2 linked regions of the Struthio camelus genome follow. The protein of the gene in region 1 purifies or fractionates together with the protein of each later gene. This does not show direct contact. Links are inferred from orthologs where the notes say so. Each region holds a gene or a part of one and is shown in the gene's direction. Other genes may lie near its edges. The genes, in order: E2F6 and MGA.

Region 1 (15,629 bases):
AAGAATAAGGACATAATCACATTATACATGAATATGTACTAGAAAAAAAAATACTGTATTGTGTATTCCAGAATTAGTACTGGACATATTCACAAACTATAAAAGAAAGTGACCACCAGATTCTCACTAACTAATAAAATTAACCACTTAATCACCACTTTCCTAAAACAAAACTCAGTTGATGCTGAAATCCTGGAATTTAAGCCATCTTTGATACCTTTACAGAAGAAATGCTAGACACTTCACAGCTATCCACTTAAAATATTCTAGTTCTAATCTACAGAGGGAAGAAATCCTGTTCAGCTCTTATGTCTAGATGTTGAATGAACTCCTGATCTTCCCCCTTCAAAATCAGTACATTTAATTATCTGAATCCCAGGTGCTCAGTCCATAGTCCACTGAGGGAATCTAGCATACCAGAACAAATAATTTGGCCCACTGCTTTTTCTTTCCTTCTTTTTCTATGATACATCTTTCTTTCCCACTGCTCATCTAGAATAGCACTCGTTACATGACCAAAAAGCATTTTTTTCTAGTGCATGATGGATATGCATCCAATCACTTCTAGAGAAACGAAAGCAGGAACAAAAATCCCCATAATATTTTTAGTGAAACTGTGAAAATTAATGTATCATAAGCATTTTCAGTCATACGACATGCTTATCACATGACCAAAATACAGGCATCCTCATGCACGTGACTAAAGGTGCGCAAAACTTAATGCACTTGCCTGCATTTTATTTAGGTGACATGCAGGTATGATTACTCCTGAGTAGAGGCTACTCCAGTAACTGCAGGTGCATCTAAGAAGATGTGTGGCTCACCTCAGCTAGATAATGGCTAAAACTAATAGAAATAGCTGTAGCTGTCCTGGGGTCAAGTCCAAAGACACTGTGTCAGAATACAAAAGCCAAGGCAAACTTGTAAAGAGGGACATCATTTTCATTGGATCAAGAATTACAGCTGGAAAACAGAAGGATTTTTTTTTTAGCGGAAATGACACGAAATTTCATGTCATGTAATGAGTGTTATTCTAGATGAGCAGTGGGGAGGAACTATGTATCCTAAAAAAAAGGGGGAAAGAAAAGGTTATGGGCCAAATTTTTCAGAGAAATGAGAGAAACAGTAATTTCATTTGCTGGAATTTCATTTGCTGCAGTAAAAATGTGTAGAGAAAATCGCTACATTTTTTTCTGGCTTGGCTAGAGTATATCTTTAGAAAAAAATGTGACATTTACAATCAAATAATTTATTATTATTTGTTAGAATTTACCTCTCAATCAGAACCCACTCAAGGTTTCTCTACTGCAGGTAAAACTGGATTTTGCCATTCCACAGAGAGCAACTAATTTTGTTCTCACCACTGGTGATAGCAACACTCTATTTTGCTTGTGGTGGCAAAGCAGGAGGAAGGGAAGGATAGAGAAGTAAAAAAGTTTGCTTAGCTTTGAGGCTCTGGGGATGGAGGTGGTCTAACTTTGCTGGAGGGTTGGGACCTATTAGTGAGGGGTGTTACCCAAGAATGAGAAAACATGGCAGAACATGGCAGCACTGGGCTTGGCTAAGCACAGCATGGATGGTTGGAACACAGATGCCTCCGATATGGAAACCACTCCCAGGGTTTTCCCAGTATTTTCTACTTTTCCAGCACTCTCCAACAGTATGGGACGCCAGCAGCAGAGGAACCTTTTTTCCCAGAATCTCTGTCTCCTCTACACTACCCTCAGCACAGGGCAGGTCTCCCAACACTCTGCTCCCACTTGTCTGTCATCTGATGCTCTCATTGCTTAACAAGTAGAGGTAAAAACAGGCAAAGAGGATGGCAGTGGCCAATTTAAAACATTTACCTCTGTTAGGCTATAATACATTCACCCAGATCCAACTCTGCCTTCAATGAATGTGCTGTATCATAAGACTTAGCACATGCATGAGATATTACTCTAATTTCAAGCAGGTGCTATAAAACCCTTTTTCATATTATGAAATAAAGTTAAGATGCTAATAAAGATACATGGTAGGTTATACAACAAAAAAGCTCATCTCCACAGACATAAAGGAGCATAGAGGCACAATGGCAGGTGGGGAAACACCAATAACCAGTCTGATAAATGGATACCCCAACCCAGCTCCTCCCAGGGTAGTCCAAGGAAGGAAATAAAGTCCCAGGGACCAAAGGGGAAACCCACCCATAGAATAAGGGCAGCTACTCCCTGTAGGGTATGGGACACATTATGGCATGCAGGGGAAGAGCATTTGGGGATTGCAGAAGATTAATTATGGGATGTTTAGGGGAGGAACTACAGGAGGGGAAAGGACAGGATCAAGGTGGTTTGGGGAGGAACATGTGTGAGGAAATAGATAAGGGAGAAGAAGGGGCTGGTCACATGTAAACAGGTCGCTGGTCAGTATGTTTGTCTGGCCATGCCCCACACCTGTTCAGTGCAGTCTGTCCTGTCTTCTTATTAAACCTTATGTCTAAGAATTTTCCTGCATGAGAGGCTCTCTTTTGTGTGCGCATGTGTGCGTATGGAGGTCTAAGTGCCAGCAACTGGAGTTAGGCTGCGGGCCAGAGGGCCTGTGTGTCTGGGGTGCCAGCAACTGGAATGAGTGCGGGTTTGTAAGTCAGTGTGTGATCGCTAGCAAATACCAAGCTGGACTAGCTGCCAAATAGGTTCGGTGACTTGGGAGCCAGGTGTGTGTGTGTGTCTCTGAGAGTGAGGCACTGGAGGAGTTGGCTGCCTGAGGGACCAGAGGGGCCAGTCCAACTCTCAAAGAGACCATGAGGTCTGGGGTCAACTGAGAGACCCATTTATTTGTGGTGTGTGTGTGTGTGTGTCTGGGTGTGTGTCTGAGTGTGAGGCATCTGGGGAGAATTTGGGACCACCTACGGTATGGACTGTGCATCTAAGCTCAGTTATTGGAGAGATCCACCGTGTGTGTGTGTGTGTGTGTGTGTGTGTGTGTGCGCGCGCGCGCGCGTGTGTGCGTGTGTGTGCGTGTGTGTGTGTCTGTGCCTGTGTCCCTCTAAGTAGGGAGGTCTGTACCAGCCACTGGAGTGGGGCTTTGGGCCTCAGGGGATCGTATGTCCAGTTGCCAGCAAGTGGATCAAACAGCAGCTACCAGGTGCACTGAGCGTCTAAGCCCAGCTACTGGAGGGATACGCACCATATACAGGTATGAATTTCTCACTACCTGACCTTCATTCCAATCAGCCTGAGAGGGGAACAAGATGAGGCCATAGGTATTGTCTGTGTTTGTCTGAGTACTGAGTGTGTCTGCCTGTATTGTTCTGTGTGGCCTGTCCTTTGTATTTTTGTAGCTGTATATAGTGTGTATTTGTATATCTGTATATTGTATATGTGTGTTTGCTTGTGTGTCTACTAGGAATATATGCTTAGCTTTGCTAGTGGTTGGACCTGTGGACTAGAGTTGCAGCAGCCTTGTTTCCACTGAGCTACTAGATTTTACAGCTCCCTGACAATAAAAATATTAAATGAAAGTATCTCTCCATCAACCTTGTTTTCATTGTGTTTAAAATAACATAAAAATTGCAATAGGGCAACCCTCACCTAAAGCAAAAAAATAACTTCAAATAGCTAGAAAACTTGTTAAGATATTTTCAGCATAAGATACACAGAAGCCATCTTATGAGGACATGCTTCAACTTTTCCATACATTTAAAGCTGACAAAATGAAATACATCATGCACTTTTGAAACTCTTCTGGCTAATAAATAAAAATAAACATAATTCTTATTACTCATTTTTCAAAATCAAATGATGACTCATCATAGCATTCTGCTGCATTACATATTAGTTAGATACCTAGATTGAAACCACATATCCATTACAATTTTTCATTAATTCATAAACAGAGGTGTCTCCACAAGTTAATATTAAGCTTATGAATTGCATATAACAATCTCTACTCAAAGTTCAAACTGTTTGATTTTAGCAACAGTTTTAGTTACAGTTTTAGTTTAAACTAAACAGTTTTAGTTTAACCACTCCCTTGAAGAGAATCAAGCAGAAAATACATTATTTACCTCTCAACTATATAGCAAGAAGCAGCTATCAGAAGCTTTTTGGTATTTCCATTGTTTTATGCACTGGAAGTTGCACTAGGCCTGTCCAGAGGACTCAAACTGGTTTTGCATTCAAAAGAAAAGCAAATACCATATTGGCAATTCCCAAAGTTTTATCAGAGGTATCATTTTTACTATGGAGGATTCTTGAAAATCAAAACTACGTGAATCCTTTTAAAATTGTTGTCAAGTGTTCTGTATTAATTAGCATGGAATACTCTTTAAAATACTTCCGCTGTTTTATCAATAGCCACTTAATCATCTTTTATATTCTAGAATTACCTTTATGTCACAAGATAGTGCCGCATATCTTCTGCGTAAACTTCAGTAACTTGCAGGCGATCTTTGCTGCCTTGATTAACTCTCATAATTTCATTCCTCTACTCGTTTTAGAAAATGCAAATCCTCTTCTTTCTGGGAGATATATTTTTAGAGGTAACTACTGGACAGTAATTTTGAACATTACCATAACAATAACCATCACGGTCATATCTAACACAGAAGTATACCCTGTCAAACTAAATATGAACAATAATCATACGTACAATATTTGATCTCTAACAGCAAAGAGGCTAAGGGAAACGAAGCATCTTTAAAGAGAGGGAAATCAGATTTGAACACTCAAAAGTTCTCCACAGTATTTCTCTCAGCTTTTTGTAATGAAGGAATTGAAAATCTCCACTCCTCTTTGGTATCAGAGAGCCTTCTACCTCAATTCTTCTCATCTAGGTTTATCAATTCTTCTTTCATGCTCAATGCCTGAAGCAGGCCAGGAGTTCTGAAGCACTCCTTCAATAACAAATACAATAAAGCCCACTTGCAACAGAAGACTTCTGTTTATAAACTGCTTAGCATGAAAATCACAGAATCACACAGAATCACAGAATGCTTGAGGTTGGAAGGGACCTCCGGAGATCATCTAGTCCAACCGCCCTGCTCAAGCAGCGTCCTCTAGAGCATATTGCCCAGGATCACATCCAGGCAGGTTTTGAATATCTCCAGCGAAGGAGACTCCGCAACTCTCTGGGCAACCTGGCCAGTGCTCACTCACCCGCACAGGAAAGAACTTTTTCCTCACGTTCAGATGGAACTTCCTGTGCTTCAGTTTCTGCCCATTGCCTCTTGTCCCATTGCTGGGCACCACGGAGAAGAGTCTGGCCCCATCCTCTCGACACCCTCCCTTCAGATACTCATACACATTGATGAGATGTCCTCTCGGTCTTCTCTTCCCCAGGCTGAACAGGCCCAGCTCTCGCAGCCTTTCTTCAGAGGAGAGATGCTCCAGTCCCCTAGTCATCTTTGCAGCCCTCCGCTGGACTCTCTCGAGTAGTGCCATGTCTCTCTTGTACTGGGGGGCCCAGAACTGGACACAGTACTCCAGACGAGGCCTCACCAGGGCTGAGCAGAGGGGCAGGATCACCTCCCTCGACCTGCTGGCAACACTTTGCCTAATGCAGCCCAGGATACCTCCAGCAAGTTCTGGTTAAGACCTCTGCCTAGAAACTCTCAGGTTCTTCCAGATGGGAGATGGCTTGCAGCCAAGTTTCAAAACCCTACTAAACACACAACATTCACTGAACCTTTTTAATAACATACAACAGTGTTCATATGCGGCAAGCACTTGCTCTTTCCTTAACCCTAATGACCTCCTCAGGGTACTTTTTCCATCTATTTAATTTCTTATCTGGGTTACAGGTACAAAAAGTAGACGGCTTAGGTTAATAGCATGTCCTAAAAAGGTTTATCTTGCCACAGATACCTATATCTATGTCTATGACATACCATGTCACAGATATCTATGCCTTTTAATTTTATTTCAGGTGTACAATGCAGGACATCACAAAAAAAAAAAAAGAATGCTGCTTAGCGCTGCTCTGTAAAAGATTTGATGCAATTTTCCCCATACTCATCTGACAAATGAAAGAAATTGACTTGATTTCTTAAATTAATGGGTGAGTATTCACCATCTATGCAGAAGCAATTTTTCTACCCAGATTAAGATAAGCAAATAATGTTTCACATCTTTATGCCTAATCATTATGCAGTGGTGAAGACCTTTAATAGGATTTCAGGAAGGCTAAGAAGCTTACATAAACAGGCATAATAATATACCAAAATATACATTTTAAACAAATACTTACAGCCATTTCTGTTTTCCATGATTTTTCAGTTTTGCGTCTTTGCAGGAAAATATTTCCCTGCTCATCTTTGCAACAGTACATACGAACCTCCTGGAAGATTCACTTACAAGTTTATTATCACTAAATAGAAGACTGTATTTAATACAGGATCTCTCTTAAGTGTGTATAGTTTCTTACAGAATAAGGCCTTGGTTTTAATTGTAGTATTGTACAAATTCTATACATATAAATAAAATAAATACATACTAAATGAGGATATAAACATATCTGTCAGGTGATATTTAGGATTATGCATACAGGCTAATAAATACTAACATGAAACTAGTGTAATAAACAATAAAAGACTAATGGGAAAGCAATGACATTCAAAACAAATTTTAAATCATTAGAGTGGGAATATAAAATATACAAAAAATTCCATTTTGTATGAAACCTAAACCATGCAGCACAAGCTTCACCATTAAAAATTTTATATAAAACAATCTAATTTCAGCTGCTCAAAATGGAAGTACAACACTTGCAGGAGAAGCACATATAAAATAGAACATTCATTTTATTAACCTCAATGGAATTAAATTACAGTAGTGAATTTTTTTAAGCAAATCATATTTTAACTTTTATATATAGCACTTTACAAATTTAGTGGAACCACTGTTCTAATATATACTAATTTTAACAAATCAGACTTAGGAAATGGAATTACCGCCCCCTGGTGGCAGATCAAAAATCAATTCAAAGTGGTAAACAACTTCAAACTGACAACCAAGCAAATCTTTCACTTTAAGAATCGTGTCCAGTACGGTTAATGCCTGGAAATATCACAAAAAGCTAAAGAGCTATTTTCGTATGCAATAAGATAACAGTAAGTGGAGTATAATTTACATTTTCATATGCTAGTGCATTAACCAAAGAATTAATGTGGAAGAGATTTCATTATCAGTTTTATTAAAAATAAATAGTAATGCACTAGAATTAAACCCTTTGATCAACAAAATGCCATAGCTGAAATTCCTGACAGTTCAGTTTCTTCAAAACCTAATTTTCATTTAAAATAAGAATCAGAATTTACACTTTTCACGTGAATGTCAAAAAATTTTCCTGAATCTGAATCAGTGTAGGACTTTTCTTTGCTCAGTTACTTATTTCCACAAGCCCATTGATAGAGGCACAGGAACAACAGAATTTTATCTTATGAGCAGCTAGAAAAACAGTACAGTGTTCTTTTCTAAAAGATGTAAATGTTGACACAATGTTTTTCACATGGGTTAAAATGGAAATGCATGTGTCCTAATCCTCAAATTATAGTACTTAGTCTTCCTCCCAGAGTCTGTCTATCCAATAATCATCAAAATTATACGTAAAGATTTTTATGCTACATGGCACATCCATTACGTAACCCCAAAATAAAGTGGTTCAAGACATCTATTCCAAACCATTTTGCTGTTCCAGATGGAAAAAATTGCTTTATCACAGTGGGTTTATACGACCTGTGACAATAAATGTAACATATGTCTTCCAGTCAAGAATACAAAGAGGGAGACATTTTGATTCCTTGTGGGAATATAGATTTATCACCTTGAAGTAGTCAGCAAGAATTATCATGTTCATAAAAAATGAATATGAATCAGGAATGTCATGCAAGTGTTTTATCTCACCGTGATGTGTTGTTGCTTCCATGGAGAACCTTTTGCATTTGCATTAGTCCCAGCTCTCCTGAGAATACAAACAAGCACCATCCGCATCTTCAGATCTACAACTCAAGTCTTCATGTCTCCTGATACACAAAAATCATAGTTTTGAGGAGTTAAAACATACTTTTTTTTCCTGTTTTTTTTTTTTGTTATAAACTGATTAGAACATGAGAACAACATACCTCAGTTCTGTATGTCTCTACAGGGACAATTATTGTTACGCAAATCATCGACTAGAAATCAGTTGCTACACAGAAAATCCCATCCTGTATCAAGAGATCTGATGTATCATCAGTGGCGCCAAATGCTACTCCAAAGGAATATCTAACCTGCAAGGATAAGAAACAGCTAGTAAATGGAAATGGATTCAATATTTTGTCAAGATAATAGAATGTTAGTTGACCTATCCCATCAGATGCATTGGAAAATGAATCAAGTCCTTCATGCCTTAGACTTCCTCATAGTAGACTAGCAGTTTCACAAAACGTCCAGTGAAATTCACATTTCTACAGAGCACCTGCTTTGAGGGTGTGGAAGGTGGGGGGGACTTTAATTTTCACCAAAAGTTGTAGAGCAGGGAAGCAAAATAATTCAGAATGTTTTCACGTAAAAGAACTCTATGACAGAGCATCTATTGTACCATATGGTAGAGGCCGTTAACTGGCATAAACAGCAATCAATCAACACACGGTTTAACGGACAAAAAGAGTTACATGTTTTACAGAAATGTTTTCATCTGACAAACAGGAGCTAGCTACTAAGCGATGCAGACAAATGAGCAAGGAAACAGTCAGTGCCTGACAAAGGATATCAGAAGTATGGAAGGAAGCACGGAAACTGCCAGTGAATTGGGTATTTGGGAAAAGATTTGAGAACTCCTGTTGAGAGGGAAACGTGCAGGCTTAGTTGAGGCAGCTGCATTTGTTGGCTCCTCTCTGGCCCTTGAGGAACGTACTCAGCTCTTCCCCCACTAACGACTTGTAATTAGTGATTCTCAGTAGGGTCATGGGATCCTGATCTCCTATGGCCGCCTGCTCCTGGCCGGTCAGGACAGGAATGCATTATTTGGCAAGAAGCAATAGTAATTATTTCCACTTGTCTTCAAAGGTGCCTGGGCAGGGCACTTTCTCCTGGCTTACATTGCACATGGAGGGAACGCAAGGATCCTGCTTTCAAATAACTGAGGTAGTGAAAACTCCTGTTTTAATCCACTTTAGACCACTGGGGTGGTGAAGGGAGTTCTCCTTGCCACCCACAGCCCACTGGAAAGACACGGGGGGAGGCGGGAGAGCAAATCTTTTTTTTAATACTGCTTCGGGGTGGGGAAAGGGGGCAACAGCGCAGGGAGCACCAATCTGGGCGATACTCGAAGAAGCCTCCTTCCCCTCGGCGCTCAGAGGAGACATCTCCCCGGCGCTCCCGCAGGCGTGAGCCAGGCAATCGCCGCCGAGCTGAGAGAGAAAGGCGCCGGCGGCGGCCACCCTCCCCCCACCGCGACCAACGGCCGTTGAGGCCCCGGCGGGCGGGAAAGGCGGCGTGGGCGGGGCCGCTGCGGGACCTCGCCGCAGAGGCTCGTGGGTAAGGGAAGTCGTCGCTCGCCGCCCTTTTGGCGGTGGGGGGGAGGGAGGTTTGTCGTCGTCACCTGTCGCGCGCCGCGCTCGCGCCCGTCTCCGCTGAGCGGGCTGAGGCGGCGCGCGCGGGCCGAGGTGGGGTGGGGAGGGGGGGGCAGCCGAGCGCGCGCGCGCGCGCGGCCGCCGGGGCCCTCTCTCCCGCCCAACGGTCCGCTGGCGGCGGTGGGGGAGGGGAGGTGCGGCCGTAACGGGCTGCGGCGAGGCCGGGAGGTCCCTCTACCACCCCTCTGTCCCCTCCTCCCTGAGGCGGGGTGGGGATGGCGGCGCCTTCTTCCGACATGGACTCGCAGCCGCCTCGCCGAGGCCCCTGAGCGCCCTCCCACCGCCGCCTGCCCGCCGGGCGGGAGAGGCCTGCCTCAGCGCTAGGCCGCGGCCGGCCTGAGGAAGGAGGAGGGGCCGGACGAACATGGCCACCCCCGCCAAGTGGGAGCGTCTGAGGCCGCTGCAGCCGGACACGCTGCGTGTGAGTGAGGGACACGGCGGGCGGGCGGGGAAGGGAGGTACTGCCGGCGGATGGGGCTAGGGCGGGACGGCCCTGCAACGCTGTGCTCCCGCCACTGAGCGATTTAAGGCGATCCGGGAAAGTCTTTCCTCTCACCTGTCTGGCAAGATATCCCTGAGCGGGGAAGATGTGGTGTGCCTGGCCTGAGAAGTACACAGAAGCATAGTGATGCTTCCCTCCCTCATGGCTTTTTAGCAGGCTGCCTGGGAGAGGAGGCTGTCATAACGTTAGTGAGTGCAAAGCAATGTCTTTCCTAGCTGCGCTAACTATAACCTGTTAGTCGAGTTAACTAGGTTGTAGATGTGTTTGAAAAATCAGTTGCAGGGTGGTGCTTTATTTTACTCTTATATGAACGTCTGTGAAGTTCAGGTAATCTACTTTTCTGTGGTATCTGGCATTACTTTTAGTAATGTTACGAGGTAGCTAATTAAAAATAGGTTTACTTTTAATTCTGTGTCACTTTCTTTAAGAAATGCTTGGTTTTATTAACTTCAGCTATTGGGCTAAATGTTATTTGGTAGCATTGCCTTCCTGCTATGAAAAGGTTTCCCTGAATTTTTTCCATCAGTAGTTGAAAATTTCTTACTACTAGAGATGGTGATTTTTAGAGACAAAGGGTGTAGGGCACAACATAATGCCGCGTGATGGATCAGCCAACCAGAGGTGCTGTCTTGAATCTGCCTCTCATCAACAAGGAAGTCAAGAGTGTGGTAACCATTAGCAGCCTTGACTGCAGGGGCCACTGAATAGTGGCGTTCAAGATGCTAAGTGTAGTGAGGACGACAAGTAGCTGAGCGCGGATGCTGGACTTCAGGAAAGCAGACTCCAGCTTATTCAGGGAACTGGTAACTGAGATTTTTTTTTGGAAGGTGACTTTGTAGGGTAGAGGAGCTCAAGACCTGGGAGTTCTGGTAAGCACACCTTCACTCAAGCATGGGAATGTATCCAGGAATGTACCATCCAGATACACAGGAAAACAAGATGTGTGGAGGCATGGCTATGCCTGAGCTTGGGGTAGGGGGATCTGCAGGTGGTGGAAGTGAAGTCAAGCTACAGAGGAGAATTGTCTGGACATGTAGGCATGATGTAAGGAAAGCTGTAGCTCGGTTAGTGTTGAAACTGCCAACGGATGTCAAGGGTGACAAAGAACTTTTACCTTAGCAGTAAAAGAATAAACAGGAAAACGTGGATCTGCTGTTGAATGGGGCAAGTGATTTAGGGACAGCAGACACAGATGAGGTTGAAGTACTCGGCCTTCTTGTTTGGGTCTTCAGAAGCGAGGTTCTGTAGGCTCTTGTATCTAAGGATAGGGCTCAAGGAGAAGAGGAACTACCAGTAGTGGCAAAGTATCAAGTCTGGGATTTCTTGAGAAATCTCAGCCCCTACAAGTCTCAACAGGACCTGACGGGATGCTTCCAGAGGGATCTGAGAGAGCTGACTGATATCATTGTGAGGCTGATCTCTGTCATTTTCAAGAGGTTGTGGAGATCAGGTGCAGGTTGGTCAGCCACACTTCAGTCTCTCAAAAACCATGGAGCGAGTTCTCTTGGAAGGCATTTCTTAGGAACGTGAAGGAGAAGGTGGTGACTGGGATTAGCCAGCATGACTATTCTTGCATGACCAAACTGATTATCTTTTTTGATGAAATGACTAGCTCTGTAGATGCAAAGTATTGGATATCATCTGCATTGACTTTAGCAGCACTTTTGAAATAGTATCCCACAGCATCCTTGTCTTCAAGCTGGAAAGTTACAGATGGTCAGCTGCATCTATCCTGTATCTTTATGGGTGATCTGTAGGAGGGCGTGGGATGTGCTCTTGCCAAGTTTATGGATGACACCAAATGAGAAGGGGAAAGTGCCATAGACCCCTAGGCACAAACTGGAGGAATGGTTCAACAGGAGCCTTATGGAATTTCATAAGGAAGTTGACAATTCAATTCAGACTAGAAATCCGGCCACCTGACCCTATAGCCCCCAGTGGTACACACTGGGAATTGAGTGGCTGGGGAACAGCTCTCCTGAAAGGACCTAGGCATCCTCGTGGACAGTAAGCTAAATGTGAGCCAGCAGTATGCCTGGTAGTGATGAAGCCCTGTGGGACTGTAGCAGCAGGAGCATAGCTAACAAATCAGAAGAAGTGATTATTTTTCACAGAATCACAGAATGGTTGAGGTTGTGAGGTTGTGAGGTTGTGTCTTCTTTATCTGGCGCTTGTTAAAGTACTCTTGGATTACTCTGTCACACTTTAAGAACTCTAGTACAGAAAGGATGTTGATAAACTTGAGTGCTACCAGCAGAGATCCACCAAAAGCGGTCTGGAGATTAGTGTACATGAGCTATGAGGGAAGCTGAAGGAGCTGGGCTTTTTAAGCCATAGCAGTGTTCCAGTACTTACTAGGAGGTTATTGAGAAGATGGAGCCAGGCAGTTAACAGTAGTCCATGATGGAAGGATGAAGGAACCTCTCTCGCCTCTCTTCTTTCATTTCATGCCTTTTTTCCAACTTGATATAAGGAGAAATGTTTCACTATGAAGAGACACAAGCAGTGGAAGAAGTTGCCCGGAGAGGTGCAGCCTCTATCCTTGGGGGCTTTCAAGATCCAGCTGAATAAAGCCCCGAGTAAGCTGGTCTGATATCATAGCTGTTCCTGCTTTGAGCAGGAGGTTGGACAAGAGACCTCCTGAGGACTCTTCCAGCTGGAATGAGTCTATGAATTTGAAACTATTCATTTTGTTTGAACTGGAGAGGGAGAAAGGAAGAAAGTAGTTGGGATCATCATGTCAGTTTCAAGACCAGAGCAGACTGCTCGTCTGGAAGTCTAGTACAAAATAACTGTGATGCTGTGTAATATCTGGGTATCTTTTGTATGTGAACTGTTACAGGGAGTGTCTGAAACTGGTGTTTATAGAGTGTATAAAGCTACTGCTTTGTATTGGAACCATTGCCTAAGCGTTGGGGAGTTTTGGTGGCATTTCCTGCTTTCCAATACAGAGGAAAATGTGTTGAGATTAAAGCTTGAAAATTCTGACAGGAATTAATAAGCAAGTACCTCTTCTATCCAGTGAGATTCCCTCACAGTAATACCTGCTGAGTTGTCAGTGCTGTGATCCCTGTAGCATCTACAGCTGAGGTGGGGTTTCACGTGGAGAAGCTTCCTATGTAGATGAAATCTCGTAACGTCAGTTATCCTTTTAATTCTGCAGCCACCAGTGATCAACCTGAATGTGGAAGATGAGGTACAGTTTGTAAGAAGTAAGTTTCTGCATTCCATATGTAAAGATTATCCGTGAAGTATATTACTCTTTTTTACAATGTCGAGTAGGTGTTGTAAACAAGTGTTGTGTGTCTAGTAAAGACAGAACAGAAGGAATGCTGCACACTCGGTGAAATAGCAAACACAATGCAACACATTCTTTGTTTTCCTCTTTTCGTTCCATCTGCTGCAATTATACCTCCCCACTCCTATAATGAAAGTGAGGTTATGGAAAAAATGAGTTAGAGAAAACTGGAACATAATGCTGGAAAAGTTTGCATTTCAACTGGCATTAACAAATGTAAATACAAGCTTTAGTGAATTTTTGTGTCCTTTTTTTTTTTCCTCACTAGTTGTACGTTTTCTTACAGTAATAGAGTCCAGAACTGATTAGCAAGTTGTTGAATCTGTCACCTCATATTAAAGTGTCCACAAGCTTGCAGCAGTGGAATGGATATGATATACCATGAGTAAAAGTGCACATTGCATTCATCCTGGGAAAAATGTTGAAGATTATAAAGTAGAATGTGCTTCCCAGGGGAATTTCCTTACATGCGTGCACGCACAGATGCGCACACTCCCTTGAGGCATTAAACAGGAATGTTCAGTGATGCGTTTTGATCAGATAAGAAATATGTGGTTTCTTTGCAGAAGAAGACACAAGTAACAGCGGCGTTTGACGGTCTTTCATTGACTCTTGCGTCAGAACCCCTTGACTAGTGCATAGACATCAAGTCTTTTTGGTGCTTTAAAACAAAGGAGTACTCAGGCATATATAAGTATGTAACAATCTAAAACTAACCAAGCTGTTCATCAGTAGCTCTTCTGCTGTTTCTGAGAATATGCTGATACTGGGAAGATGCAGCACAGGGGTCTCTCTTAAACATGTGGTGTTATGGTATCTGTAGATCTTCATCTCTATTAGTAAACTCAGTAATGACATCAACAGCTCTTTAGGTCTGAGGCCAAATAGTACAACCTATGTTTGTCCATATATTAAGTTCTTATACTCCAGAACAGATTGGTCACATTCAGATAGAAATAGTCCCTAAAACCAGGCTAACTCTTGAATTGTGAAATTATTTGGGAGACTGCTGGTTGACCTGGGCCAAAGGGATATGAAGAACTGTTTTAACAGTCTAACAGAGCAAATATTAGAGTTTCAGTTCTTGGGCAGGGCCCAGGCACTATCTAATGTACTAACTTACAGTTGACCTATGTTTTTACTAGTATTCACTTAGTAGTTTGAGTCTACATAGCGCAGTGAACGTATGGTAACATAACTATTAATATCCATGTTAGCATGAACTTTGAAAGCGTGAAGATGCATGATTGCTTTTTAGATACAATTACTGCAGACCAATAAAGGTGCATTTGGTTAACAGACTTTATATGATGCCATCTCAATGTCAGTGTTTTAAATGATTGTAGTGTTTCAAGATTTTTATCTTCAGTGCTGTTGTTTGTTTAAAAACTACTTAATATTGTTGTAGTAGTTTATACTAAATATTGCGTCAAACCTTTACAGAGACTCTGAAAGTCACAAAGCCTCGATTCGATGCCTCCCTGGTTTATTTGACCCGAAAGTTCATGGATCTTGTCAAAACAGCTCCACATGGCGTCCTTGATTTAAACGAGGTAGCAAGAACTCTTGGAGTACGGAAACGAAGAGTGTATGACATCACCAATGTGTTGGATGGAATCCACTTAATTCAGAAAAGATCTAAGAACCTTATCCAGTGGGTGTGAGTTGGCTTTGAAACTTCTAGTTTTGGAAACAATAAAAACCAACAGTACTAAGTAATGTTTTTAGCTTGGAGCTCAGAGTATTTTTAAGCATATTTAATTACTTTGGATAAATGAAGCTGTCTTAAATTCTATTGCATCCTTAGACTGTCTGAATTACATACTATATTAATAATTATCAAGTAGGAGAAAAAAAGCAACAATGAAATGTATTTCAGCAGAGCAAAGGATGCCAGAATTCCTTATTGGTTCTTATTAGTACGTTTTCTGTATTCAATAAACAAGCTCTTACTTATATAAACCTACTAGACAACTTTCATATTCTTTTAGAGGTTCTGATCTTGATCAAGTTGTTGGAAAGGCACCAGAGCAGCAAAAGCTTAGAGATGAACTTTCTGACTTGTCAGCCATGGAAGAAGCCCTGGATGAATTAATCAAGGATTGTGCTCATCAGTTATTTGAACTAACAGATGACAAAGAAAATGCAAAATATCCTTTTAACTCTTACATCACTTTATCTATCACATGATTTTGATCACTAGTGCTCAGGTATCTGGTAATAGGTGTAGGCAGACACCA
Region 2 (16,186 bases), on another chromosome or scaffold:
TTAATAGCTTTTCAGTGCCCGTGGACCTTGTACCTGTAGCAGTCTCTGAGGCAAAGGAGGACGCAAGCTGCAAGGTCGTGCAGGGATCTGGACTGAGCTCTGGGACGAAGCATCTTCCCACCGACCCACTGCGTGCCGTTACACAGCAGGGCTCAGACATGGGTCCTAAGCCGTGGACAAAACTGCGGTACTACACGAATTGTGTCACATCCAGGGCTTTGACCCGCATTTACTTAGCAAACAGCGGAGGCAGTTTAAAACGTAACCATCTTCCGAGTATTCGTTCACTCCCCGCCGTTGGCATTTGGGTTCCTGGCAGCCAGGACTGGCGATGGCCGGGCTGATCAAGGTGGGCTGAAGCGAAGGCAGCAGACGTTGCACGGAAGCGGATGAGGCATGGGCCCATGTTTCTACCAGCGCTGCTGTGGGGGTGGAAATCTCTGGCGGAGCAAGCCAGATAACTTCTCACACTCCCTCCCCCCCAGTCTGATTCACTCGAGCTTGTCTGCCAACACTCGCAACTATGCCAGTGCAATTCCATTGAAGCTGATACACAGGGTTGCACCTGAGGCAAAGATTTGGCTCGTTACTTGAAATATTTTCCATATTATTGAGGAAATTCCTCTGGGTCACCGCTTAAAATCCCCAGGGCTGTTGCCCTGCCTGTGGGCCATCTTCTTCTGCAGGCATGACTGGGCAAAATCCCAAATGAGAAGAGCTGAACCTGTTTATTATCAGAGAATTATATGGCTTGATATTTCTCTTTTTTCTCTCTTAATATACTCAGGGAAATATTCCCTGGCTGCTTGGTAAAGCAGTTTTGTAAAGCTGCAGTAGGGGGCTGCAATACTGTAATTGAAGACAACAGCTGGCCCACAGGGACTTTATTTGAGATTTATGCTCTTGCACTTGAAAATCACCGTATCACTCGAGCAGAACTTACACTAGAGGCCTGCTGCACAAAATGCCTGATTTTCCTTTTGCTTATACAGGTGCAAATCAATGAAATCATCCGAGAGAGATCCACAGAGATCATCGGAGGTTGGTTTCCCGGCACAAAAAAAAAACCAAACAAAAAAAAACAAAAACCAAAAACTATTGAGAGAAGAATTCAGCCTGTAATCTGGAAATTCACCCCATCTGCCTTCGTACCGTGTTCGGCCCTCTCTTGTGTGAAGATGATTTGCTGGGCCAGAGTCAGTTTTTCCTCCTCAGGCTTGCGCACCTGCTGAGGCGTCGTTTAGCACCAGCGAGCCCTGACGCCGACGGGGCAGCAGGGTCAGGGAGCAGCAGCTCCGCGGAAGTCAGTGGGATGATGCCATCACAAGACTGGCAAGAGTTCAAAATCGTGCTTTACAGCTTGCCTGTTTCTAGACCAAATTTTATTGGCAGGAGAAATCTGTGACTGTAGAAAATCTGCACTTGTCTCTGTTCCAAAGAGACTCTAAACTTTCATTAGAAAAATTAATTGATTTTTTTTTTCTCAGTAAACATCCTACAAATGGTCTGGGCAACAGAGCGTCACTGACAGTGAACTTTGCAAATAAAGAAAAAGATGTCCGTAGCTCAACGTTAGGGAGAACGTGGGTAAAATCTTAAAGAAGACAAGACTTTATAGTCTTCCCATGCATTAGCAGGGTGAGGTGTTTCCCCGATACCTGCTTTTAACCCGGACCTGTTAGCGCAGCTGGAAGCAAGGTGCTGCCCTGCCTTCAGCAGGTGTTGCGGAAGGGCAGGACCTACCTTGTCCTTGGCGCAGGTGCGCCCGCAGATAAGGTTTGCCATCGGTTTTCTTCCTGCTTGAACTTCTGGTTGCAGAGAGGATGTTGGAAACAGCAGCTGAACTTGCTGCACCAACTTTTGTGCTGTGACCCCCTCTGTGAGTATGCAAAGAAGCCCTAGGCCAGCGGGAAGTTGCCAAAGTTTCACTCTGAGGATGTTTGGGATGAAATTCTGTTCTGGTAACCCAGGGCTGGCTGCGGAGGGCCAAGCCAGGCAGCGGGGTCGGAGGGTGCAGGGCAAGAGCTGGGAAAGCTCAGAGGGGGCAGTGAGGGGTGACGAGCCCATCCGGGACATCTCTGCAGCATAAGATTTCTGTCTCTTATGAATGGCTGTCTGCCCTCATATAACAGAGGTTGGAGAGGCTCTAGAGATGAGGCCGAGAGCAGACTTTGCCCTGGTTTTCAAAATCCTTCACGTTTCATTATTTACTTTCCTCGAAAGTGGGCCTATAAATACAGTTAAATGTGGGCTTTTCGGATGTCTGAAGACATTCATTTAATGATCTGCAGATCTATATGTGATTTATATGTGGTCCTCCACAGTTAGCCAGTGGGTTATTTTTCCCCTGCGGATTTCCCCTTCCTGGCTGTTTGTCCATGAAAGCCTATTCTGCATGTAATCTGAACACCTCCCCTCGGTCGCGCTTTCCTTTCTTCTGCTGCCACAGCTCTGCCACTTTGGCGGTGTCACGCGGAGAGCTGCGGATCCTGCCCTCCGTGGGCCAGACCCAGCGCCAACGGCAGTCCCTGGCAGGGCTCCCAGGGCCTTCGGTGGGCTTTCGCTTGGCCCCGCGAGCCTTTCCATCCAGCAGGAAGCCGCACGTGCCTGGCTGGCACCCGTGCTTTGGCGACCGCTCACAGACCTTTCCCGGGATGCCCCAGTGGGTCTGGGGCGGTTTCCCGCGGGCCGGCCCGACGCAGCAGCCTCGCTGTCCTGCCGGCCTCACGGCGCTGCTCTGCTTAACGCGCTTGCCTGAGAGCACTGCATAGTAATCCTGCTTATGTTTCCAAATATATTTTTTAACACACTTCAGTTGTCAGTAAGGAACAATTTGATCATTTCTCTCTCTGTCATAACTGATAGAGAGAGAAAATTCTAGTCTCTGACTCCGCATGGTTTGAAAGCAGGGAGATATTCCTGGCCACACTTTTACTTCTCCTTAGTTATACTTGTCGACTTCTGCAAAACTATGGGAAGTAGCTCAAATTGGAATTTGGCCCCAAACTAGTCATTTTGCTTTGCGTTCACATTTGGTGCGTAAAAACTGAAGAGGTTTCTAGATGTGCAGTTGGTGGGTTCCTCTGTGCGGCCACCAGGGAAACAGGCTTGGAAGGGAAGCAGAAATGCCTTCTGCAAGCGCCAGCTTTCAGGCTGTGCACTGTTTGTTGGTTATTTACTTCCTCGGTTGTTTAAGCGGTTCTGTGATGTGGTTATGTTGTTTATCGGCAGCATCTCTGGGGAGGTTGTTTCACGTATTTCTTTGTTTTTTGGTGGTTGCGTTGTCTGTGCCATATCACAATGTCTCTGGAGGCATTTCAAGGAAATACGTAGCATGCTGAATAACGCTAGCTTTAAGTGGACGCCCTGGAGAACATCTGTATTAGTTTCCTCTGGCAGCAGGTTGCTTCAGGTAATAAAATTGCCCGTCCTGCTGCTTCATGTTGCCAGTGCCAGGCTCCTGGAGCCATGCCGGGTGCCGCTGTGGAGGAAGGCGAGGAGGGCGAGAGCAGGCGGCTGCCGCTGCTGCCTAAAGCCCCACATGGTTTAGGGCTCCAAAAGCTGTTTTGCATGACGATATTGCAGCATGAAAATTACTGGCTTCCCACATCTGAGAAACCATCAACAATTCCTATTTCCATGGAAATAATTCTAGGAAGCGACGAGCGGCTTTGGCACATGCAGAAAGGGCAGCCAGGGGCGTTTAGACAAGGTACCTCAGAAGCGGCAGCTCCTCGTGCACGGACGCTCGCCCACGCCGGCAAGCCGCTTCACAACCAGTGCTTGCAGCGGGATCTCCAGGGCAGCTCCTCGCTCCTGCGGGTGAAAAGCAAACGGCAGCGCAGGGGCCCGCGGCGGCGTCCCGGCGGTGCCCCCCTCGCGGGGCGGCTCCGCGCGTGGAGGACCAAGGCAGCGGCACGGCGAGGGGGACCGGCCCCGGGCCGTGCCGGAGGCCACCAGCGGCTGCCGGTACCCAGTGGCACGCAAAGTCTGCCTCTGCCTGCGCCGGGGGCCGAGGAAGGGACCCCCATCGCCGCCGGCATCCAAGGTCCCCCAGGCCGGAGCGGGGAAGGAGGAGGGAGACAAGCCCCAGGCGAGGGGGCAGCAGGCGCCTTCCCGCAACCAGCACGGCCGAGCTCGCCTGCAGCTCCTCCTCGGCTGCCGCAGCTCCCTAACCGAATATTTCAGGAAAGGTTTATTGCCCCCCACCCCCGCCTCTCCGCCGCTCCGGTTTATTAAAAGGTCTCCGATTTATTCTGTTGCGATAAGGATCTGCCCTCAGGGAATTGCGCCTGCAAGGAAGCATAATCCCTTTTTTTTTTTTTTTTTGCAGCACTGCATTGCTGGAGGAAGGCTTAACCCCTCGCTCTCAGAGTCACCCGTTACTTAACGAAGGAGCAGCACGAGGCCGTGTTTCCTGGCCCGCGCTGGCCGCTCAGGCAGGAAACGGTCTCTTTGGCCGCCCTGCCTTCAAAACGGAGGAGCAAAGGTACGGGGCTTGGCCGGGCTTGTTGCAGCTGGGGACTACGAACCTCCAGCGAATAAAGCAACCGGGAGAAGCGGCGGCGCGGTGCTGGGACGGCTGCTCGCCGGTCCCTGGGGGAGCCATCCTCTCCGGGCAGGAGCTGGCCCGCAGCGAAACCTCCCACCACAGGCGCGTCCCCAGGACGCTTCTGCCTTAAAGAAGCACCCGGCCGGGGGCCGAGCGGCGCGGCGAGGCGCTGCAGCCAGAAACTCGCCTCGTCCGAGCGCCGCAGCGCGGCTCCCCTCTGCCTTGTTGGCCCCGCGGAAGAGGCTGAAAGGCTGCCCCGTTTCGGCTCTTCCTTCTCGGGGCTGGGCAGGGCAGGGGCCGACGGACGCGGGCGCCTGGGAGAGGGGCTGCCGGGGGGAGCCGGCTGGGGACAAGTGAGCTGCCGGCAGGCTGCACTAAGCCCATGAAAGGAAAACGGCAACAAAGCTAGCGACAGGCCTTTCAGGGCGCCCGCCGCTTTTCGTTGCGGAATAACTGAAGAAGATCTGGAGAGGACTTCTTCCTGCCCTTGCCGTTCGGGTCTCAGCATCGGATCCCCGGCCTCAAGCTCTGGAAATAACTGCCTTTCCCTGCTGTACAGCCCCTGAGCTGCCTTTGCAGCTCCAGCGCTAGGCGTGCGGGGGCAACGTTCAGGCTTCGGGCGTGATGACGCTGCACAGCGGCAGTGGCTCCACGTGTAACCAAGACAACTGATCTTTCTCACAACTTTGCCCAATGAAAATAACATTAGGGGACTCTTAGAGAGGGACCCCCCCCCCCCATCTGTGAACCCTTCCTTCCTCCCATATCGTCAGATAAAGAAGCCCCTGCTGGGGATGCAAAATCAGCCCTAGAAAGGGAGTAAATGCCAGCTTTACAATTGTCTCCCATGTGCGTAATGCTGATTTCATGAAATATTCACACATTATTTTCTTCATATGAGCCTGACTCATGCAGTGCCCAGGAAGTTGCATCCTTAATTCTGACATTTTGTAGTCTTTCAGTGATTGACTTAAGAATTCAAATAACATACTTCAAGCATAGAAGGGGTGCTTGCTGTTAAATGCAATTATTGTTGTTCAAATGTAATTATTTTTACCTTATGACTAATTATAAATGGATGTTATTAATGGAAGAACAAAATGTGTTTATCAGGGTTTGAATTCTGCAGTCACTGGGAATAAACACACCAGGTAATGAATTTGGCAATAAAAGGCCAGCCTTAAGCGTAGACCAGATTTAGCACCTCCCTTTCTCATTGTATCATACTTCCTTCCTCCCACTAGTTCAGCCCACTCAAAACCTGTATAATTTCTTCCTATAAAAGGACATGCCTGTTTCTGCTCAGTTCTCTGAAGCATATGCCTTTATTTCCTAACTATGTTCCTCCGTGGGAACTCTCATGATGGGTTTATAGGGAGGGGTCAGAACGGGAGAGCTGAAGAGGTTCCAGTTTGGTGCAGAGCGAGTGGAGGGCGCGAGGTGAAGGAACAAATGCGTCTGCGAACAGGAGAGCAAGCGGAGAGAAACGGGATAATGAGTGGGTGCCTCTGGAGGAAGTAGTGATGGGAAAAAGCAGCACGTGCCCTGGGCAAACAGATCCATAGAAGAACAGGTACTGCTCTTCCCCAGTTTCCCCTTTTACAGATGTACTCAGGAAGGAAAGGAGTGGGAAAGGAGGAACACTCTTTTTCTCACCTATTCAGCTCCCTGATTCTCTCGCTAACTCTGCTGTCCCAACACTTAGCTTTCAAAAAAAGTCTGATTCGCCAACAAACAGAAGATAGTTTGTAGGCAACAAAAAGCGGAATGAGCAGCAATTTTTCTGCAAAACGTCACCACGTAGTTTGGTCATCTCTGCTTTAAATTGCATCTACCTTTTCAAAATGAAGATTTCCAAATCTGAATGGCGCAGGAAATTTTTCAGCAGAGCAATCCTAAGCTCTGGCTTCCTCTGATGAAGGAGGCTTTCTGTGCTTGGAGACCAAAACAACGCTTTTTTTTCCAGCCATACTGCATTCTTGGCTCATTTCTATGACATTCACAAACACCATAAGATTTCCTTCAAAACTCCTACATTCAAAATGTCTTTTTTCTCTGAAATAAATATCAATGATCTATTTCCCCTGCACGTATTATCTTTCGCTTGTCCATATCCCAGCATTTTTGGCTGCCTTTGTTTTTCTTCTTTGGTCTTTTTTGTATTTGCAACATCATTAAATTTAACGTCAAATTACAAATTTAATTTGCTTGCTGCTTTCTCTGTTTTTCCTGTTAACTAAAATGCATCTTACATCTAGGAATTGGGCATCGCATCTCTTGTTACAGTAGTAATAATTTCAAAGAAATAGTTGAAACTTGGTGGTTCCTTGACCTGCTCATGAACTCCAAATATACAGGACCTAACACCACCAGTGCTTTCTAATCTAGCTCCTAATGCTAACCTAACCCAAATGACTCCAAACGTTGATTATAAAATTGCAAAGACTCCACAAAGGTTTAGCTTATACTTGAATACATTTGTAAACTGTTTAAAAGGATTCCTCAACAAATAGTTCCCTAATAGGACAGAGAAGATACTTGCAAGCATCTCAGTGACCTAGCAACCAACCCCTCCATTCTCCTGAAATTCAAGTATAAACTAATGTTGACTAGAAAGGAAATTGAAAGGCCAGATTTTGCAAAAGTGTAAATGTATGCCTAACTAGATACTTCCCTTTTTACGTTTCTGGTTGGTCTCCTAAGTCGTATTGGCACAAATTCTCAGCAGTATTACGGTACCCAAGGAATGGTGATTCCTACGGTGACTAGGGACCTTTCAAAGCCTTGGCCTTCATCCCAGAAACGTTAGTCTAGGGCTGCAGACGCTCCTGCAGAACACATTGCAGTGCCTTTTATCACACCTTTTGTTTACAGTTTAAATTAGCTTTTGTTACATGTGACCTGCCTATAACCAAGTCAATCTGAAATGATTTTGCAAGATTTTGCAAGATGTTTAACTTTTTTTCATTAACGTATAGTTACCGTACTTTTTGTTCATTTCAGTTTTATTTACAATTGTCATCAAGTTCATCCAGTACTATCTATCTTTATGTACTGATGCGGCTTATAGCTCACGCTTTCTTCTCTGCTAAATGTTTACTTTTTTTTTTTTAACATTTGTTCCACTATTTCGCTATGGACTGAATATACATTTCCTAGATGGTAACTTCCAGAATCACTTTTTTTTCACCTACAAAAAATACAGGTGTTCTGTTTAGAGGTATTATTGAATACCTCCCACACTGAAGGTCATACAGCCTTTATTTGCTAAACTCTTTCAGCTTATGAATAACCACAGGCAACTTTGTGTTAACTCCGTAGTGAGCGCGAGTACAGTTCTACTCAACAAGCAAGCCTCACTGCAGCAGTCCTCTTGAAGCAATGAGGTTGTGCCTGAGAGACGCTGAAGAGGTACAAAAGTGTTTAGTCACGTGCAACGGCGTTTCACTTTGGGCAGTGGCTTTTTAAGTCAGCTTGATGTATGGCTGTTACTCCATCACGACCGACACATTATACCTTGGTGCAAATGAGTGCGTTTGTCTGGCCTTCGCAAATACCACAGAAAGTAAGAAAGAACAGCGGGCTGCGTATGTAAAGCCTGTTCCCCCCAGACGTTCATGCGGTTAGAGAAGGGTCCTACGCAGGCGTTTTACAGATTCGGTAACCGAGTTATCACAGCCAAGTCAGCGCGGCACGGATGACAGAATTCAGGGAAGACGCTGAGCCCTGCTAGGGGGAACCTTTAAGAGCGGCTTTGGAAACGTGCCTCCCCCAGTTTCGCCCCTTAAAATAAGCCTTAAAACACGAGTCGCACGGCGCAGCGGCAGCCGGCCCTGAAGACCCGAGAAGCGATGCTCGCTGCCTCGGCAGCTGCCCCTGTAGATGACAAAAAAGCCTCGCTAAAACACGAGGAACGTGCCCAGCGGCCGCGCTCGTCGATGCAGGACCGACCACGGCTTTTTCGGGCCGCTGCCGGACGCAGCAGCGAGGCTGAAGCCCTGCGACGGGGCTCGCCGCTGCCCCCCTGCCCGCTCCCCACCCACCCCGGCCGGCCGCTCCCCCGGCGCCCCTCGGCCGACCAGCGGCCCCCGGCGGCGGGCCCCGGGCGCGACGGGGCCGGCGGCGGCGGCGGCGGCGGCGGCGGCGGGGGGGGGGAAGGGGGAGGGGGCGCCGCCGCAGAGGCCGCAGCCCCCGCGCGCGGCCCGGCGCCGCAGGCAGCGGAGCGGGGCCGGGCCGGACCGGCGGGGCGGGGAAGGGAGGGGCGGGGGCGCCCCGGGGGCGGGGGCCGCTGCTCGCCGCCGCCGCGCCGCCGCGCCCCGCGGGACCGGCGCCCGGCAGCCAACGGCGATCGCGCGCCCGTGCGGCCCACGCGCGAGCGGCGTGTTTCCCTCGCGCAAGGGCGGGGGAGGGGCAGGAAGGGCGTGGCCTAGGCGGAGGGAGCGGAAGTGCGTCGGCGGGCGGCCCCAGCCAATCGGGAGGGCGCCGCTGGCGGGCGTCGCGAGGCAGCTTTGCCCCGGCCGCCACCGCCGCCGCCGCCTGCGCCCCCGCGAGCGCCGCGCACTGAACGCCGCCCGCCGGTACCGGCCGTGCGGGGGCGGCACCGCCGCGCGGCGAGCCGGAGGACGGGGGCGGGGGAGGCAGAGGAGGAGGAGGAGGAAAAAAAAAAAAAAAACCCGGGAGCGGCCCACGTGATGGGCTGTTGCAGCCAATGAAGACGGCAGGAGGTTGCGCGTGGCAGGCGAAGGCCTCCGGAGCTGCGAGCGGGGCGCGTGGGCTGGGGTGTTGCTGGGCGCCCGGCGCCGCGTGGAGCCGGCGGCGGGAGGCAGGTAGGAGTTGGCGGCCGCCTCGGGGCCTTGCCCGCGCGCTCCTGTCCCCTCCCCCCCCCCAGTTTTGAAGTTTTATTCGAGGAGGTGGCGTGAGGTGTGCGCGTCACGTGACCGCGGCGGCCCAATCACACGTGCGCTCTCCGTGCCTCTACGGCCCAGGGGGGCCGCGTTTGAGGCGAGGGGGCCGCGGGCGGGGGTGGCGCTGGGCTGCGGGTGCCCCTCTCTGTCCTCCCGGGCCCCCCCCCCCCGCCGTTTCCTCCGGGGTCGCGGCCGCGGGAGCGCGCGGGTGGGCAACTGGGGGGGGGGGTAAGTGCAGGCGGTCACGTGACGCGGGTCGGTTGGGGGGGGAGGGGGTTAAAGGGGCCGAGCAGCCTCGCGGCTCCGCATCCGGGTGCTGCGGCCCGGAGGGGCCGGGCCGGGCCGGGCCGGGCCGGGCTCCCGCGTCCCGGAGCCATCGCGCTCTCCGGGACCGTCCTCCGACGGAGGCGTGGCTGGTGCGAGCCGTGAGACGGGGTTGGGTTCCCCGCGCCTCGCCCTGCAGGCGGCTCCGTGCCGCCCAGGAGCCCTTTCCCCGGGAGCCGCGCGGGGAAGGAGGAGCAGGGCGGGGGCCTGCCCCAGTGCCTTGGGACGTCCACGCCCCCCTTCCCCCCCCCCCCCCCGCCCCGGCGCCGCTGGGGGCGGGCGGCGGGGCGGGGGGGGGAGGGAGAAGCGGGCGGCCGCAGGGCCCCGCGCCCTCCCTCGCCGTCCCTCCGCCGCGCGCGCTGGAGGCGGGGCGTAACGGCTCGAGGGAGGCGGCCGGCCCGCGGCGGCGCGCGTGCGCCTCGGCACGTCGCGTGAGGCTGCCGGGCGGCCGTTGGGGCCGCGCGGGGGCAGGGGCCGAGCCCGCGCCTCCGCCCCGCCGCCGCCGCTCCCCGCCAGCCCGTGTTTACGCGGCGTCTGGCTCCGTCGCTCCGCGCGCCGCCCGTTATTCTGGTAGTTTCCTGCCTTCCCCTAGTGGAGGTTGAACGCCGCGGAGCCGAGGCCGAGCTAACGTGGCTCCAGAGCCGGCTTCATGTGGCGGGTTTGCGCGTTCAGGGCTGTGGAGCCCGCCGGGGACTGTCACCGCCAGGCCCTGCAGGGCGTTCCCACGGAGGGCCGCCTCATAAATAAACAACAGCGCTTCCTTTGAGCGGTGGTGCACTGCAAGGATTGGGTTCTTCAGTTCTTGGTGGGTTTAGGTGCTAAGGTAGTTAACGGGAAGTTCGACAGGGAACTAAAAGCTGGGAAAGTAACCTTAAGTAGCAATTGGAAGGATAAGGCTTAGCAGGTGTTTCTTCAGCCTGGTAAGAAGAGTGGCTTCCAGCGATGTGGCTTGAGGTTTTTTTGCCTAGTTTCTTAAGACATCAAAGCTTATGCAGTCATGCTATCTTACTGCTCACGCACAACTTCTAAACTTGTGGGTTATCTTTAACCATGCTGGAGAGAGTGAGCCAAAGCGCTGAAGACTTGAAGTTGCTACAGACTTTGAAAACTGAAGTTTGCATAAAGAAGAGGCAAGGTGTGAATTAACTGTACAAAATGGCAATACCAATTCAAGGTGATCTGCCCTGCACAGCCACTCACTGTGATGCTGCAGTATCCTTCCAGTGCCTGCAAGCACAGTTGTTTGTGTGTCTGTACTGAGAATCAGAATGAGGAATTGATTCTGCTAGAAAATGTTTATATGGGTAGTGGTTTTTTTTTTTTAAATGTATGTGTGGGGGAAAAAACCATAGTTTTCAGTTCCAATTGAGATGGGCAGAATTCATTCACAGTGTAGTCCATCTAGCAGTAACTGGCCTTTAGTCATGCGTGCTGGTTGTCTGCTCAGTGTTGGTGCATGTGTTATAGTGTGAGTCATGGGAGGCAAACACACACTGGAGGGAAACCACTGTTAGTTTACTTATGAAGGCACTTATTTGATCACCTACTAGAAAAGAAATTCTTTCTGTTGTAGCTTTTGCTACCTTTTTATTTTAAAAGTGATTTAGTCAATTTGAATGTATGTGGTGGTGTTTGTTGGCTTTTTTTTTTTTTTTTTTTTGCCCAGTTTCCTAAGGGATTGGAAATACAATCCCTTCTTTCTCACAAACCCAGTGAAAAAAGATCTCCACCTAGAGGAATGGGAAAGAGCTCTTGCCTAAGAACAGGCTGTTGTCAGGTTGCTGCTTCATAAACAGCAGAAGATCTACTCAAATTCCGCCATGATACGCAATTAGAAAACAGTTCCATTGGCTGTGATAACAGCAAAGCTTACTTGATGTCTTGTTCTTCCACAATTAGGGATGATATTATTTACTATTTTTTACTGGGTGACTGAAGAACCAAGAGTCTAATGATGGTGGAGTTGCTCTTCTCTTTCCCCAGTAATATGGAGTACCCCTTTCATTGTTGCGTTTTGGCTGGTTTTAGTACCTACGATAAATCCTTGATATGCCTCTTTCTGAACTGGATAAGGAAGAATGATGTAAAAATGATATGGGTGAGAAGGTCTGTCACGAGACGAAGGTAGTCAGAAAAAATGAAGCCCAAACCAGAAAGGCAGTAAGGGACATTAACAGTACAGAAGACAGAAAATGAATGTGGGAGCCAGATAAAATACATCTACAGAAAAAGTATTTGTGTTCATTGCTACAGTCACTATCACCAGAAAAAGCCAATTGGGAAATGGCAAGACTATCACCTAATTACAGTTAAGCAAATACTTGTGATGATGGAATGATGTGCTGTTTTGCTAACTCTTGCAATACAGTGCATTTTGCTAGTATGGTGTGGTCTGCCTGACCACAGGGTAAGTCAGTAATGAAGATCGATGGAGATGGGTTCCAGATTTTAAATCTACCTAGTGCTTTAACTGGTGTTACTCTCCTTTTTACCATGGTCTAAAAGGGGCACAGAGATCTTGCTGGCAGCTATGACTTGATGGACTAGAGCTATAGGTGACTATGTAGGTATGATTGTTGCTATAAAACAGTAACTTTGTGTCCTGAGCTCAGATGAGGTCTTTTTTACTTTCTTGTCTTGTTTTGCCCAGCTTTCTTGTTTGTACCTTCATTTTTTTCTATGCTGTGGACAACACTTTCATCTGAAGATTCATGTACATTGTACAAGTTCTTCATGGTGGCTGTAAAAGGAGTGAAACTCATGAAATTTGTGTTATTCTTCTTGGTTGTGGCTTGCTTTTGCCAGTGTTGTATGGCAGAAAGCACAAAAGTTTGCTGTATGCTTTTATTTTATAACTTTTGGCTTTTGAAGTAATATATTGAAAAAATGTAGCAAGCTTGCATTGAGTGCTTGAGTAGTGGGCATATCAATGACTTGCTGATAGAATATGGGAAGCAATATGCAAAAATGTATTTAAAATGCCTAAATAGTAACATATCGTAGTTACCGATATAGTTTAAAAAAAAAAAAAAAGGTGATTATTTAGAGTGAAAACTGACTTTTCTGCCCTCCACCAAGTGATTCATACTTTATGTAAATAAATTGTATATTTCTATTCTTCAGTCTTCAGTGCTTGGAAAGATCTCTGTATTCCCCCCAAAAGTTTAGGTGACTCCTGGGGGATAGAGAACGACTGCATACTGTACATTGCAGGATCAATGCTATTAAGCAAAATAACTTTATTGGAGGACTGGAAGTTTTGACTCATGTAGGAAAATATTAGCACCGGAGAGCTGAAGCAGGTATTCCTCTTCCCCCCACAAAGTGCTTACCCTGTTCTGCAATAGAAACTGCTGCTCTTGCAAGGATGCGGCTGACAGTTTATGAAGCAGTTCCTGAACTGCTGCTACTTCATCCTAGAATACTCAGGGCCTCAAGTGTTAAGAAGTGAATTTGGACTTAGTATAAACTAGTGCTCTGGGTTGAAAACTGATGCCTTAGAAACTGTCATGCTTGCTGTGGGGATAGTAAGTTCTGTGTGGGGCTGGAGTGGGCAGCTGAGCCGGAGTCAGCTGCTGTTCAGAATGACCTACAAGTTACGTATTTTGGCACATCTGCATCAGCAAGAAAAGCTAGTTTTGGAAAAACTAATTTTTTTGCAAGTTAGTTTCTTACAATAAAATGGCTTTTTTATGTCAGACTTTTTGGCTAGATTCTGTCATCACTTACACCTTAATACTCTTCTTGACATCAGACTATACTTAATTAGTATAACCAAGGGAAGAACTTGCACTACTTTTATATTGTAAATAAAATATTGTAAACTTTTTAGTAGATTTAGACTGGGATTCTGCTACCCAAGCTTAGGAGTCCAGTGCCATTTTAGTGCTCTAGGTTATTTAAGACATCTGTGAACAGCAGACAAATTCAGCTCTAGAAGGCTGATGTTCTTCTGGAGTAGCAGTTGGAGACCAGTTGGATGACTAGTGATGTAGAAAATGGAATGATACGCCTTTGTTCAGGCAGCTTAATCCAACTCATAGTTTCAGAATTAACAGATTTCTTGTGGTGTGCTACTGTGCTAATGATTCTCCGAAGTGGCTAAAGAAAGGTGGTGTTTTTTTTGGTTACTCTTTTTCTAGTTTTAACTTTACACAACATATTTGACTGTGTTTGTTATTTTTAGCTAGTGAGTTTGTGAACTGAAAGCTTCCTCTATACTCCAGTAGTACTCCAGGAGTAATGCCTCTCAAGGTATACCATCTGACAGAAGTGTCCTGTTGTAGCTCTACTTGGTAGTAGAGATCTTTTTTTTTTCAAACCAAAAAGGAGATTGCTAACTAAAAATACAATCTCCACCTCTTTCATGTTCTCCACAGGTTTTCAGCTATGTCTGCAACATATGTTGCTCTTCCACATAGAGATTTTCAGCAAAGCCTGGGCCTTGTGACCCTCCAGCTGATGATCTGTTACTGACTCTCTTTTTTGAGGTAGGTTAGAAATACCAGTTTTTGAAGGACTCGGCTTTTTTCTAGAACTCTAACTAGCAACTTTGTGGACTATTGGTTGACGCCTAAGTTGCAGGCGGCAACTTTCTTGTACTGTGTAGGCTTAGAATTTGCACTTTTTGCTTGCAGGCACTACTGAAGGAAGGAATTACGATTTGCTAGATACCACTGGGAAATACAATTTGTAGAGACTGTAGGTCATGCTTTCAGGGTGCTGCAAAGCAGGGAGTATGTCTGAAAGGAGCATTTAGGGGGAAGAGGGAATACTTTTAGGTAGTAAACTTCAGAGTTTCAAAAACAACCATCACTTCACTAGTTACTGTAGGGTAGCTCCACTGATCATGGAGGGTAATATTCAGTTGGTATGAAACAGTTCATTTCTGTACTACCCAATGATGTTTAGCACAAACAAGGCTATCAGTGCAAACTGATATTTGTACAGATTAAATTGGAATGTAGCTCTTTAGTGGGTGTGTGTGTTTTTTTTTTTTTTTTTTGCTATGAACTGCTCAGAACTATAGAAAAATGTCAATTGGGAGGAACCTCAGCAAGTCATTGTCAAACTTCCTCAAAGCAAGACTGCCTTCAAAGTTAAATGAGACTGCTCTGGCTTCTACTGGTGAAGCTGTTCTGTTGATAAACTAGAGGTTCCACTTCTGTGCAGGCAAGGTTTTCTACTTGATTTAGGCCAAACAGTAGCAAAAACCTTGGCAATGTCTACTGCCTGGTGTTGCTTCTCCATTATCATTGGAACATGTAGCTCGTGGGCCACAAGCATGTCACTTTCTGCTATTTGATTTTGCTCAGCTGCCCTTGGTGGTACTAATAGCTGCCTTCTGGGGGAGGAAAAAAAAAAGGAAGAAAAAAAAAAAAGACATCCAGAAGTAAGAAACCTGAAAATTAGAAGAACTTTATTTTTGGAGAAAATAGGACAGCACAGAGAACATACCAAGGAAAGAGCAAACTTGAGAGCGAACAAAAAATGTTTCAGATATGCTTGCAGGATTCCTAGTAATTGACTAGGAATCCTTTGACTAGGATTACAGTACCTAGTCAAAGTGAACTAAAAAGTTACAGGTTGAATTATAATAGAGTTATAACTAAACTGGAATTTTTTTATAACTAAACTGGAATGCTTTCTTGGTTCCTTTCTTCCTCTTGCTTTCGTATAGCAAATGGGAAGTAGTTGGTTGTTATCCACTGCATACTAGGTAAGAAAGAGCTTTTCTTGTGCTGAGGTATTTTAGAAACTTGTGAGAGAGAATGGCCATGTGAAGGTATTTCAAAGACTATCTGAATGTGACCCATAACAAAAAGAATAACATCTCTCTGATATTCATATTTCCTCCCCTCTTAACTCCTCACTTCTGTCCCCACTTCCAAATGTGATGTTATACATGTTTGTGGTGCCTCTCCCCCCTGCACTTCCCCGGGACGATATCAAGTATATGAGGCTAAAGCCTTCCTGTCATCTCTATAAACTGCTAAAAGTACCACAATCACAATCTGATATGTTCTTTCATACTTGGAGAATTTTGTATTTAAGCAGCTTCTCTGTTCAGTGAGTGGGTTTAATCTTCAGTTTTTCCAGCCTGAGTCCATTCTTCTAGTTAAAAGGGAAAATAGTCCATGATTTTCTGCTACAAGCATACCTATGTCTGTAAGTTTTTCAACAATATACCTATGTTACTGTTTTGATGCATATTTTTCAAGAGTCTGAAAAACTTTTTTTTTTTTTTTTTAACTTAAGTGCTTTTGGGATGATCTCCCATAGCATAAATTTCTGATGCCAGTAAACCTTCAAAGGAGTGCTGGCCTTTGTAATACTGCTGGTTTTGACAATTTTCTGCTTTGTAACAGCAAAGACACAACTGTGCTGGTTAAACAGAGGAGCAGCC

Evidence for each region.
Region 2: the proteins of E2F6 (region 1) and MGA purify together in Homo sapiens (affinity purification with mass spectrometry; 3 studies listed by BioGRID and IntAct, counting the BioPlex papers as one, with this or other methods). This does not show direct contact. The link is inferred for Struthio camelus from reciprocal best matches to the Homo sapiens genes E2F6 and MGA.

What each region holds. Positions count from the first base shown.
Region 1 is NC_090944.1:23,557,776-23,573,404, forward strand, and holds the start of E2F6 (transcription factor E2F6), read left to right. Parts: upstream 1-9,626; 5' UTR 9,627-9,953; coding exon 9,954-10,010; intron 10,011-13,254; coding exon 13,255-13,303; intron 13,304-14,832; coding exon 14,833-15,049; intron 15,050-15,380; coding exon 15,381-15,539; intron 15,540-15,629. UniProt on the Homo sapiens protein: Inhibitor of E2F-dependent transcription. Binds DNA cooperatively with DP proteins through the E2 recognition site, 5'-TTTC[CG]CGC-3'. Has a preference for the 5'-TTTCCCGC-3' E2F recognition site.
Region 2 is NC_090946.1:41,710,682-41,726,867, forward strand, and holds the start of MGA (MAX gene-associated protein), read left to right. Parts: upstream 1-9,148; 5' UTR 9,149-9,378; intron 9,379-16,186. UniProt on the Homo sapiens protein: Functions as a dual-specificity transcription factor, regulating the expression of both MAX-network and T-box family target genes. Functions as a repressor or an activator.